3 linked regions of the Mus musculus genome follow. The protein of the gene in region 1 purifies or fractionates together with the protein of each later gene. This does not show direct contact. Links are inferred from orthologs where the notes say so. Each region holds a gene or a part of one and is shown on either strand. Other genes may lie near its edges. The genes, in order: Sec22b, Stx5a and Stx18.

Evidence for each region.
Region 2: the proteins of Sec22b (region 1) and Stx5a purify together in Homo sapiens (co-immunoprecipitation; 4 studies listed by BioGRID and IntAct, counting the BioPlex papers as one, with this or other methods). This does not show direct contact. The link is inferred for Mus musculus from reciprocal best matches to the Homo sapiens genes SEC22B and STX5.
Region 3: the proteins of Sec22b (region 1) and Stx18 purify together in Homo sapiens (affinity purification with mass spectrometry; 5 studies listed by BioGRID and IntAct, counting the BioPlex papers as one, with this or other methods). This does not show direct contact. The link is inferred for Mus musculus from reciprocal best matches to the Homo sapiens genes SEC22B and STX18.

Annotation. Positions count from the first base shown.
Region 1 is NC_000069.6:97,920,417-97,922,861, forward strand, and holds the end of Sec22b (vesicle-trafficking protein SEC22b precursor), read left to right. Parts: intron 1-699; coding exon 700-854; 3' UTR 855-1,902; downstream 1,903-2,445. UniProt on the Homo sapiens protein: SNARE involved in targeting and fusion of ER-derived transport vesicles with the Golgi complex as well as Golgi-derived retrograde transport vesicles with the ER.
Region 2 is NC_000085.6:8,740,358-8,744,729, reverse strand, and holds the start of Stx5a (syntaxin-5), read right to left. Parts: upstream 2,928-4,372; 5' UTR 2,458-2,927; coding exon 2,233-2,457; intron 1,877-2,232; coding exon 1,806-1,876; intron 1,760-1,805; exon of another isoform or gene 1,651-1,759; coding exon 1,595-1,650; intron 1,378-1,594; coding exon 1,307-1,377; intron 1-1,306. Other genes in the region: 1700092M07Rik (testis-expressed protein 54), read right to left, coding at 3,574-3,755, 3,884-3,962; Wdr74 (WD repeat-containing protein 74), read right to left, coding at 4,152-4,328. UniProt on the Homo sapiens protein: Mediates endoplasmic reticulum to Golgi transport.
Region 3 is NC_000071.6:38,037,720-38,042,168, forward strand, and holds the start of Stx18 (syntaxin-18), read left to right. Parts: upstream 1-1,510; 5' UTR 1,511-1,612; coding exon 1,613-1,780; intron 1,781-4,449. UniProt on the Homo sapiens protein: Syntaxin that may be involved in targeting and fusion of Golgi-derived retrograde transport vesicles with the ER.

The sequences.
Region 1 (2,445 bases):
GATAGAGAGATGGTTCACAGGTTAAGTGCTTGCTGCTCTTGCAGAGGACCAAATTTGTTTCCCAGCCCCACATCTGGGTAGCTCACAGTTGTCTGTGGCTTTAACACCGCAAGATCCAAGGCCCTCTTCTCATTTCCAGGGCGTCATGTAAACATGTGCATACACATACACACATAAATAAAAATAAGTAAATTTTGTTTTGTTTTTTTGTTTTTTCAAGACAGGGTTTCTCTGTGTAGCCCTGGCTGTCCTGGAACTCACTCTGTAGACCAGGCTGGCCTCGAACTCAGAAATCCGCCTGCCTCTGCCTCCCAAGTGCTGGGATTAAAGGTGTGCGCCACTACTACCCGGCTAAGCAAATCTTTAAAAAAGAGAAGCAAAACAACTACCAGGTGCTGTGGAGCACTCAGCTCTGCATGCCCAGCATGCTCAGGACCCTCGGAGCCACAGCAGAAGGTGGGTGGTGGGGGAAATCTGCTGCTACTAACTGGGCGTTGGTCATATGCTGAAACCATCACTCTAAAGCAGTCTGTGTGCCTATCAAATGTTGATAATACAGTTACTATTTTATTGTTAAACATAGTTTAAACTCCATGATTTGTTTATTCTGCCAGTCACTTTTGTTATTTTTACACCTTAGTGTTTTTTTGACAAACCACTTCAGGTCTAATTAATGTTTTCTCTTTTTTTTCTTTTCAGCATTGGATTCAAAGGCTAACAATTTGTCCAGTCTATCTAAGAAATACCGCCAGGATGCGAAGTACCTGAACATGCGCTCCACTTACGCCAAGCTTGCAGCAGTAGCTGTGTTTTTCATCATGCTGATAGTGTATGTGCGGTTTTGGTGGCTGTGAGATGTGAACCTAGTCACTAGTAAGGGAGAACCTAGAACCCCGCAGTGTATGTTTTCAGGAAACTGAGCTCACAGGGCTGTGTATTAGAATCCACGTGGAACTTCTGCCTCTAAAGACCTTGCAAGAAAAGACCTGTCCTGAAAATGAAAGATGGCGCCTCGTTTAAGGAAGCTTGACCCATGTGGAAGTCTCTCTGGGACAGACTTTCTCTGGGTGCTGAGCTATATGTATTAGGGAACAGTAGGTTGTCTGTTTTGTTTCTCTCCCTCCCAGTACATGTGTGAGGCAGCAGAACTGGGGCATTCTCTCTCTGATGGAGCCATCAGTGAGATTTAAGGTAGCCAACCCATTCTAGCAGCATCCTGAAATTCTGTCAAAGAAGGCGGCCCTCTGGGGAGTCCTAACTTTAATCGACATTCCTGTGTTGGTAGCAGTGTGATTGACTTTCAAGTGAGACACAGTATGTGAAGGTTCATGATGCACAGATCCTATGTGTTGGCCATTGTAAGAAGTTAACTTTCGTTGTTTCCCTTTTATATTTTGCTTATTGCACAGTTGCTTTGGAATTAAATCAATTATATAATATGCCTTGAAATTATATAGTATTGCTTGACTAAAAGGATGAATTTTTTTTTTCTGTCATTTACTCTTTGTTGTTTGTTTTTCTTTTCTTTTTGTTTTTTTTTTTGTTTGTTTGGTTAGTTTGTTTTGTTTTGTTTTGTTTTGTTGAGACAGGGTCTCTCTAGCCTCAGTTGTCCTGGAACTCATGAACCAGGCTGGCCTTGAAATGACAAAGATCCACCTTCCTCTTCGTTTACTCTTTAACTCTCTTGGGACATTATTATTTGGGACTGTTTGGTCTCTGTAGAGTTGGTGTAGCGCAGGGTAGTCAGAGGCCCTGCTTTACGAGAAGAAAGGCCCAGCTTAAAGCTCCAACTCTGCCTGCCCCTTCCTCCCACTTTGTCTATGCGTTCCCAATTCTTGGTTTTCTTTTTTTTTTTTTTTTTTTATTACATATTTTCCTCAATTACATTTCCAATGCTATCCCAAAAGTCCCCCATACCCTCCCCCCCACTTCCCTACCCACTCATTCCCATAATTCTTGGTTTTCTTTACGACATAATTTGCTTAAATCTATAGTCTCCTGTCCCATAAATATCCTATCAGGATATTCACAAATTGCAAATGTGATGTACTCAACAATGTAGTTAGTTAAATTTATTATCTTTGCAGATCAGCTACTCAGACACAAACACTCACATAACTTATGAAGGACACCTCTGAGAGCCAGTCCCTCATTTCTGTTTCAGCTTATGTAAATTCTGCAAGAATGTTTTAGATATAAATGACTCACGGACAGTGACTTCTGTAAGCAATGGGAGTACATCAGTCTTCTTTCCCCTTTTTGCTCAGGGATAATGGGGATATCTCCTTTCACCTTCTGAGGTAGAATTTTATAAGTGGGAAGAATAGGCCTTTTGAGTATTATCACAAGGGGCTATAATATAACCTATAAGTCCTGCGCACACTGCAAACATCTCTTTAAATTGTACTGGAAAACGAGCCAGTGTCTTATTTCTTAGCATCTTTG
Region 2 (4,372 bases), on another chromosome or scaffold:
CCAGTACTCAGAGAATAGAGACAGATACATTGCTGGGTTTGAGGCTAATCTGGTCTACAAATGGAGTTCCAGGAAAACCCTGTCTTAAACAAAAACACCAGCTTGGGCTATATAAGTACAGTCTCAAAACCAAAACAAAGAATCTGCTCTGGGCTATCTGTATCTTTTGCTCCCATTTTTTTTTCTTTTTTTTCTTTTCTTTTGGAAAGTAGAAGGGATGGAGGGAAGAAACATAATTACAGGGCTGGAGAGATGGCTCAGCAGTTAAGAGCACTGACTGCTCTTCTGAAGGTCCTGAGTTCAAATCCCAGCAACCACATGGTGGCTCACAACCATCCGTAATGAGATCTGACGCCCTCTTCTGGTCTGTCTGAAGACAGCTACAGTGTACTAGCATATAATAAATCTTAAAAAAAAAAAAACAAAAAAACAAAACAACATAATTACAGACCAGGTTGGCCTCAAACTCAGAGATCTGTAGCTTGCCTTTGCTACTTTGTGGGTTTCTTTTTCCCAGTCTTCCTCACCCACCTCCATAACATATACATACTCCATTCAACTAAATAGGAGAGAAAGAAGGGAGAGGGAAAAGAGAGATCTGTAAACCTAATTTCTTTCTTAGTTCTTCCAGCATGACTACTAAACTCCCCTTGAAATAACCACCAACGCCGCCTCTTGAATGGCCCCAACATTTATATACCCTCTGAAAAATTCCCAGAATTCCAAACATCACACAATCACAGAAACTATCTGTAGCTGGCAAATCACAATCAGGTGCTACAGACAGACAGAAGCAGCCCCACATACCTACACCTGGGATTAAAACGAAAACATCTCTACCACTACAGAAATCACCTGCCTCTGCCTCTTGAGGTCTGAAATTAAAGACATATACTATCTGGCTGAATTTCTGCATATAGACCCCTCAGCCTACCTCTACATAAGCTGAGTCCAAATCAGATTTCATATCCTTGGTCAATCTTTCCCAGTATCCTGCTTCATTAATCATTTTGTAAGATCTTTTCTATACTGACACCTAACCTCATTTTAAGCCAAGGCTTTTGATGCTGGGTAACTCTCAAGGAAAATGAGCCCTTGAAGACAATGCTCTTGCTTCCCAGTTGTTTCATCAGCATCTAGAACAGTGCTTTATAAATACTAGATGACCTAAGTGTCTACTGACTCAATGGAGGAGCAGGGTGTTTGGACATGGGTCTAGATACTTACCCTGGGGATTCATGGCGATGGAAAATGATGGAAGTAATCTAATTAGAATGCTGGGCTCTCCTGATGGCTAGCAGCTCACCTGTTTGATGATGTATGTTAGCTCCTCAATTTCTACTGCTTTATCATCAAAGAGGGACTTGCGCTTTGCCACTGCAGAGACAGATGAAACATTAGGACAGGTGAGGGTAAATAGCAAGGCTCAAAGAGCTAGGATGACAGTTCAGTAGTAGAGACACTTGCCTTAAGGTATACATCCCTGGTTTAAATCCCCAGCACCATAGAAAAAATAAGACAAAACCTCCATGAGCCTCACCTCCTAGTACTATGTTTCACTGTCCCACCTAGGAAAGGCCTCCCAAACACTCACAGATTGTTAGCTTCTCCAGCTTGGCAAATGTATTGCTGAGATCTTTCCCAATGCGCCTGCAAATGATCATCAGTGAGAAGGTTGTGGTAAAGGGCAGGAAAGAGGCTGTTACCATAACCTCCAACACAACCAATTCCACTCAGCCAAACCATCACAGGCAGATATACTTAAGACACTGTATCACCCCACCACAACGCCCCTCTCAACTCACCTGGCCATGAGGGTAAATTCACTGCACTGTCGGGCTGCGTGCAGAGCCGGTTTGCTTGTTTGGATTCCATTCTGAATTGTATCAAAAAGTTGCTACTTTAGTTCCTGTCACTACTTACCTCAGCTTTTCACTGCTCCCTCACATAACCCACTAAACACTCTAGCGCTGTTGACATCAGACAATCTACATTTATCAGTGGTTTGTAGATAAGAAAAAAATTAGATGTAGGTTTAAATCCTGACTCATCCTTTGTGGTATTTAGGGCAACTTACTTAAAGTATTCTTGAAATTACTGAAGACAATTCCTCCTCTCCTACTGATAAGATTAGTCTATCTAAGAGTTGTAAATTAAGTTTAGACAACTACCAAACAAACCTAAGCATTAACTAAATGGGCTCACGCCTGCCTTTCCACTCCAGCTTCTTACCTGACGGCTCTGCAGGGACTTGCAGGCAGACTGGAACTCCTGGGTCCGATCCCGGCAGGACATGGTGTCGGGAGGGGAGGGGACCAGGGCCACCGGAGTGGGCAAAGGAGTGCTGTCACTGCTGCTACTGATAGCAGTTGCAGGGGACAGAACCTGTGTCTTTGAGAGACCCAGGTAGACACCCTGATCCGTGTTCTTAGATCCGTAGCGTTTCCGCGGGATCATCGAGTCGCATAACCTCAGACTGTTGTGGAGAGGAGAATGTCATTCTCCAGACAGCCTCTTTCCCCAAACGCTCCCCTCAACTAGCAAATCCCCAGGCCCTTTCCCGTATTTGACAGACTTTGGAGCCCACGGCCACCCGCAGATCCTGCACCCTGGACACGGCGAGAACGGTCAGCTTCCTCCAGGCCCAAGGCGAAGCCTCCTCAGAGTCTCCTTCCGACTTGGCTCTGACTGCCAGAGCTCCGGCCGGGGCCCCTAAAGTCGAGAAAACAGCCACAGCCTGGTCCTGCGGCCCTGAACTTCCAGGCAGACCTTTGCAGTTAGCCCAGGTCTCAATCCTGCCTTTGGTATACGTGATTTCCTTCCCCCTCTCACAGAAAACAGCAACCGATCTCCAGAGGTGGACACACTTCGGAGGGCGGAGGGGGAGGCGAAAAAACCCTCTTAAAAGTGTTTATTTGAAACAGGAAGTCCCACCTCCGTCAAAGTTCCGCCTGTTGGAAGACTGCAGCCACTGATTGGATGGGGCCAAGTTTTTCCTTAACAAGACCTTTCCTGATTGGACAGCGAGGTATTCGCTTACGCGGAGCCGCCAGCAGGACTTACTCCTGGCTCCCTTCCCCCCTCCCCCGTCAAGCCGCTGCCCGGAGCTGAGCCGAACGACAGAGGCTGGACTCCTACTGAAGCGAAACCCTACCTCTTCTGTTTCCTACCGCCACCACCACCGCCACTCTTCCCAGATCGTTGCCGCCTCCTCGAAGGACTTGTAAGCAGTGGAAGCCGGACCAAAGAACAGGAGCCGCCACGTCACCTAGACGTACTCCTAACTCGGTGACGTGGCTGCTGCGCCACGCCTTTTTTTTAGCCCAGAGACAGAAAGAACACACCCCTACCATGCAAACTCGACTCCGCTCTCCTATTGGTTAGACTGCCACCGCGGCCCCGCCCCTGAAGTGCGAGAACAAATCTGGACCTGCTGGGTTAGAGGCGCCTTAAAGAGCCTGTGTGTGGTCTCAGAGCCTTTAAAGCTGGAAGCCTAGGCCTAAGTGTTTTCAGCAGATTCGCAATATTAACTTTATTCTCTGGTGTTGGGGAGGACTAAGACCAGGGTTGTAGTCAGCCTTTTTCTGGTTCCTTGTGGCTTCCCTCATGTTTGCGTTCCTGCATCTGATTGTCCTGCTTGCCTGACCGCGAGGACTCCCGACGGCTGAACATGGATAGCCTGCGCCACAGCACGGTGATCAGGAGACTTTCGTTAGATCTTTGTTTACGGCGGCCTGAGTTGTCCACTTCGTTGCCTACAAGCACCACAGGGTCCACTTAATTCACTTCTGTTCTCTCCAGCCCCACCTCTGGGGCAGTCCCTTTGGGGCACCTCCGGCTCCCATTCCAGGACCTGAGACCCGTTTTTTGTATCTAGTCCTACCTTCCCTGCCATCCTCTGTTACTTCATCCCTTGCTTGCTCATCCGAGGCCCAACGGTTCTTGTCCTGACAGCAGCCCATGGCCCCGAAAGGCGCAGGACTCTGTCACCCTCCCCAGCCAGCCTAGCTCTGGGCCTAGCTTTTGTGATGTCAGGTCTCCCGCAGCTAGGTGAGGGAACCCCTCCCACCTACAAGGCGTTTCTCCCATCACAAAAGGTCCAGGATCAGTACGCGCGTTGGGCTATTTATTAACAACATGAGCAAGGGGCTTCAAGGACTGGTGGATCCAGGCCGCTTCTTTTTCTTCCTTCTTTGGAGAGCACCTTGTGTCTGGTCCAAATCTGGGAGCTTCCGCTTGGCAGCTGCCTCCAAAGAGGCCCAAAGTTCATCTGTCTCTGTGTCTTCTGAGGGTACTTGGTTGGGCTCTTGAGGTTCTTGGGGCTCATCCTGATGATCAAGAAGGACATTCAGGAGTCAGGGAAAGAGGATGA
Region 3 (4,449 bases), on another chromosome or scaffold:
TAAAGGCAAATGTGATCCTAGGATTATTATGAAACTAGCTTTTCATCTTGATGACTGTTAAAAGCCTAATTTTAGCACACATCTTAGTGTGCTTCCTTTTATAAGGAAAACAAAACCCAGAGAAATTGATATTGAACTAAAACTAAACCATGGGGGTCACACTCCTGGACAAGAAACTACAGGCAACTATGGCTGCTGAGAGAGGGAAGTTAGCCTATCCCATGGAAGAACCCTCTAATTGGTTGTCCAATACAACGTGATTATCCCTGAAGCCATAGACACATACACAATAACAACAGTTTCAGCAGATTGTGCTGGCATATCCATGGATACTTACACATATATGCAACAATAATAATTAAAGAAGAAGAAGCTATCAACTTGAGATTGAGTTGGGAGACATGGAAGAAATTGGAGGGAGAGGACTTGAGGAGGCTGGAGGGAGAAAAGGGAAGGAGAGAAAGTGGCATAATTGTATTTTTAATGAAAGGTGCACACAAAAATAAAATGAACCATGAACCAAGTGCTCAGAAAAATTTTACTAGCTGACTTTAGTCAAATTACGTAACTCTGTTCTCCATTTCATTCTTTCTCTTTGATAACTATGATTCAAGAGAGCGCTTTTCAAAAGTGCTTATTGAGGAGGAACCTAACATGATATCATGAAGTTCAGAATGCTTCACTTTCGTCTGGCTCTGATAAGTTCCTGCTCTCCACATCCCCGCTCAGGGATCTCTGCTCTAAGCCTCTTCTACATTATAAGTAAGAAGACTGAGGGCATGGTGGCGCGTGCCTTTAATCCCAGCACTTGGGAGGCAGGGGAAGGCGGATTTCTGAGTTTGAGGCCAGCCTGGTATACTGAGTGAGCTCCAGGACAGTCAAGGCTACACAGAGAAACCCTGTCTCGAAAAACAAAACAAAACAAAACAAAACAAAACAAAACGACTGAGGACAACCATATTATCAACAACGGCAACATCTACTAGCTGTATACTAAGAGTTAAACAGCACGAGGACGTTTTATACACACATTCTGTTTAATTCTCTGTGCATTCCAAGAAAGGCGCTGGCTTCACTTTACCGAACTGGCTGAAGGTTGAAGAAAAAAGGTCTCTGGCCCCTACCTCTGTACACGTACCCTTTCCTAGCTCCTGCAACTCAGATGGTCATAGTTCATTGTTACTCAAGGCGATCCCTTGATGACAAAAGTCAAAAGTGTGATACTCCCCACCTGTCAACCAAACCGCCCGCCCGTCTCCTAAAGAATCATAAGGGGAGCGATCTTTCTAGCTTCCCGATGCTTTCGTTCCTGAAGTCCAGACTGGGAAATCTCCGAGCGTCTGATCCCGCTGAGTTTTGCAGAGAGGAGAAAGGGGTGCCGATGCACTGCGGGTAGCTGTCTGGAACGGAGAATTCCGGCTCTGGGTTAAAGCCGGAACCTTTCTCCACTCTCCGCGTTACACGGGCGGAGTGCGGAACCTTTCTTCTATGCTCACAGTTCCCAGGCGGAGGAGTGCGAAATCGGAACGTCCCTCAGCAACCGAGTTCTTGCCGGGGTCGCTAGCTGCTGACGTGTGCCTGGCCGGCTTCAGGCCCTGGGTTGCGGGTCGCTATGGCGGTGGACATCACACTGCTCTTCCGGGCTAGCGTCAAGACAGTGAAGACGCGGAATAAGGCTCTGGGAGTGGCCGTGGGTGGCGGGGCCGATGGCAGCCGGGACGAGCTGTTCCGCAGAAGCCCTCGGCCCAAGGGAGACTTCTCCAGCCGGGCCCGTGAAGTGGTAAGCTGGTTGCTATGGGAACGGCGGGCGGGAGCTAGGGGCGCATACGCTCCGCGGCCCCTGGACCCCAAACTGGGCCTATCTCTTTAGCTCTCGGTGAAGACAGGGAGTCTCTAGCAAGACAGAGAGTCTGTCTCACCGACCTAACAGCTGGCTCAGGGTGGCGACAGGTTTATTCTCACGAAGGGACGCATATCTGGGCACTGAAGGAAGTAAGTTAGAGGTGCTTGGATATCCTTGAAATCAGGTTATAACCTTCTGAGGCAGTGAGTTCGCCAAGAGTTCCCACAGTCTGACACTTCCTGTCGCAAAGCTCACCACTATCTCCCCTCGCCCTTCCACGAATCTGTTTGGACCTCCTCTTGCTCGTAGGGTTTAATAAAATCCACGCTCAGCTGAACGCTCCTTGATCCTTGCCTCCAGGCATAGGTAGGACTCAGTACCTCCTGAGATTGGTTTAGGACATCACCAGTGTAGGGTAAAAGCTTTTCCCTTCAGAGCGGCAACACTTAAGCAACACTAGTGTTGTAACTGTCCTCTAAACTGCTTCCTGTTCTCTGGACACAACCGGCTTCTGTGTCCCCAACATAGAAATCTTTTCCATAAGGGTAGGAACATGTTGACAGTATTTCTGTATGTGCTACTGACAATATTGCTTAGTAAGTATTCTTTGAATGAATGAATGGTTGAACGAATGAACAATTATTGATTCCACTAAACAGGAAAAAAAAAGATTGTTTGCATTATATCCCTTTGTGTCTATGACACTAGGGTAAATGTTATTTTTGGAGTACCAGGGGGTCATATACAGTCTGCCTGTCTTTTTAAAGACACACACACACACACACACACAATGGCCCAAAGCATTGAAAGGTACAAATCTGGGGGATCTAAACTTTAAGTTTCATTGGTTTTCCAGTAAACTCACCTCTGCTTGGCACATAATCCATTGCTTGATATTTCTCTTTTTGAGGCAGGGTCTTTCCATGTAGACAAGGCTGGCCTTGATCTTACAGAAAGGTGACTGCTTCTGTCTCCCAAGTGCTGAGATTGAAGGCATGGGCCCTCAGACTAGATAATACTCAAATATTACACACACACACACACACACATATATATATGCACAAGTCAATGAATGGCTGTTTACAGATAATGTTGAAGCACAGGAGGTTGTATGAACCAGATAAATGCCCCTCCCTCCAACAGTAAACATCTACCTAGTACTTACTTTCTGACCAGCACTGTTTTAGAGTAATAGGGTTCCACTGTTGAGTTATAGTTACAGTGGTGGAGGAGATGCAAATATAAACAAACGCCCTGCCGTGAGCCGTGCTGGTGTTCTGTAGGGCACAAGGGAAACAGTGGTTAATCCCACCTGGGAGAAAGGCTTCATGGGACAATGATGTCAGAAACCCATTCTAAAAGAACAGTAGTTGGTTTCATTGCCAAGAAGGCTAGGAAGGGCATCACGTGCTGGCCGTGCTCCTGGGTGGCCACACAGTCAGGAGGACATGGACAGTGCAGTTAGACTTGATGGACTTTTAAAAAATGGGTGTGTGGTGGGGAGATGGGGACATGAAGGTAGGGGGGTATAGAGGTGAGAGTGGATTTGAAAGGAGTTAGAGGGGGACTGGATAAATATGATCCGAACACATATGCAATTCCCAATGAATTAAGAAAATATCTTTTTTGAAAAGAGACCAACATGCACAAAGGCATGAGATAGTAGCTTAAGTTGGGCTTGATTAAAATAAGAATGTGGGACACTCAGAAAAATAATGAGTGTTATGGTAGCCAGCGGGAAATCTAGAAGATCTTTGCAGATCACTCTGCAGCGTTTGAACCTTGCCTTCTAGACCAGTGGTTCTCAATTTTCCTAATGCTGTGGCCCTTTAATACAGTTCCTCATGCTGTGGTGACACACCCCCCCCCATCAATCATTATTTTCATTGAGACTGCATAAGTATAATTTTGCTACTGTTATGAATTATAATGTAAATATCTGATATTCGGGTTATCTGTGACCCATGTGAAAGGGTCATTTAACCTCCCCTCAAAGGGGTCACAATACACAGGTTGAGAACCACTGCTGTAGAAAGTCCAGTATTATGTAGACAGCGAAGAAGATCCAGGAGACCACAGTGTTGTCTTAACCATTTTAGCTATTAGCCAGACTCATGCTATTAGGCAGAACTTATTTACCTACAAAATGGTTCTTTTTATCCAAAACAGACTTTAAAACGCCAATGGATCCATCTTATATATCATATATAACATGTCTTATCATACAATTTATCATTTTTTTATGGTTTTAGAGCTTTATTGTAGAAAGGCAGAGAGAAAGAGAGAGGGTAAAAGAAAGGCCAGCCATGGCCACGTGGAGAGAAGCAGGGTGGGAGGGAGGGGAGAAGGAGAGCTAGAGATGAGAGTTAGAAAGTTGAGAGCTTAAGAGCACCATGTATCATGTTGAAGGAGGCATGTCTCAGGTTGAAGTAAGAGAATGGGAAAATAAGGTGTCATCATAGCTCTAGTCTGAGTCTGGCCAAGCTGTTGTCGCAGTGTGTGGACGGCACAGTTTTGGTGTGTGGAGGCTCTTCCTGGGTGGTTTATTAATGCTGCACAGATTATCAGTCCTCAGGGATAGGGGATTTGGGAACAGAAGAGTTAAG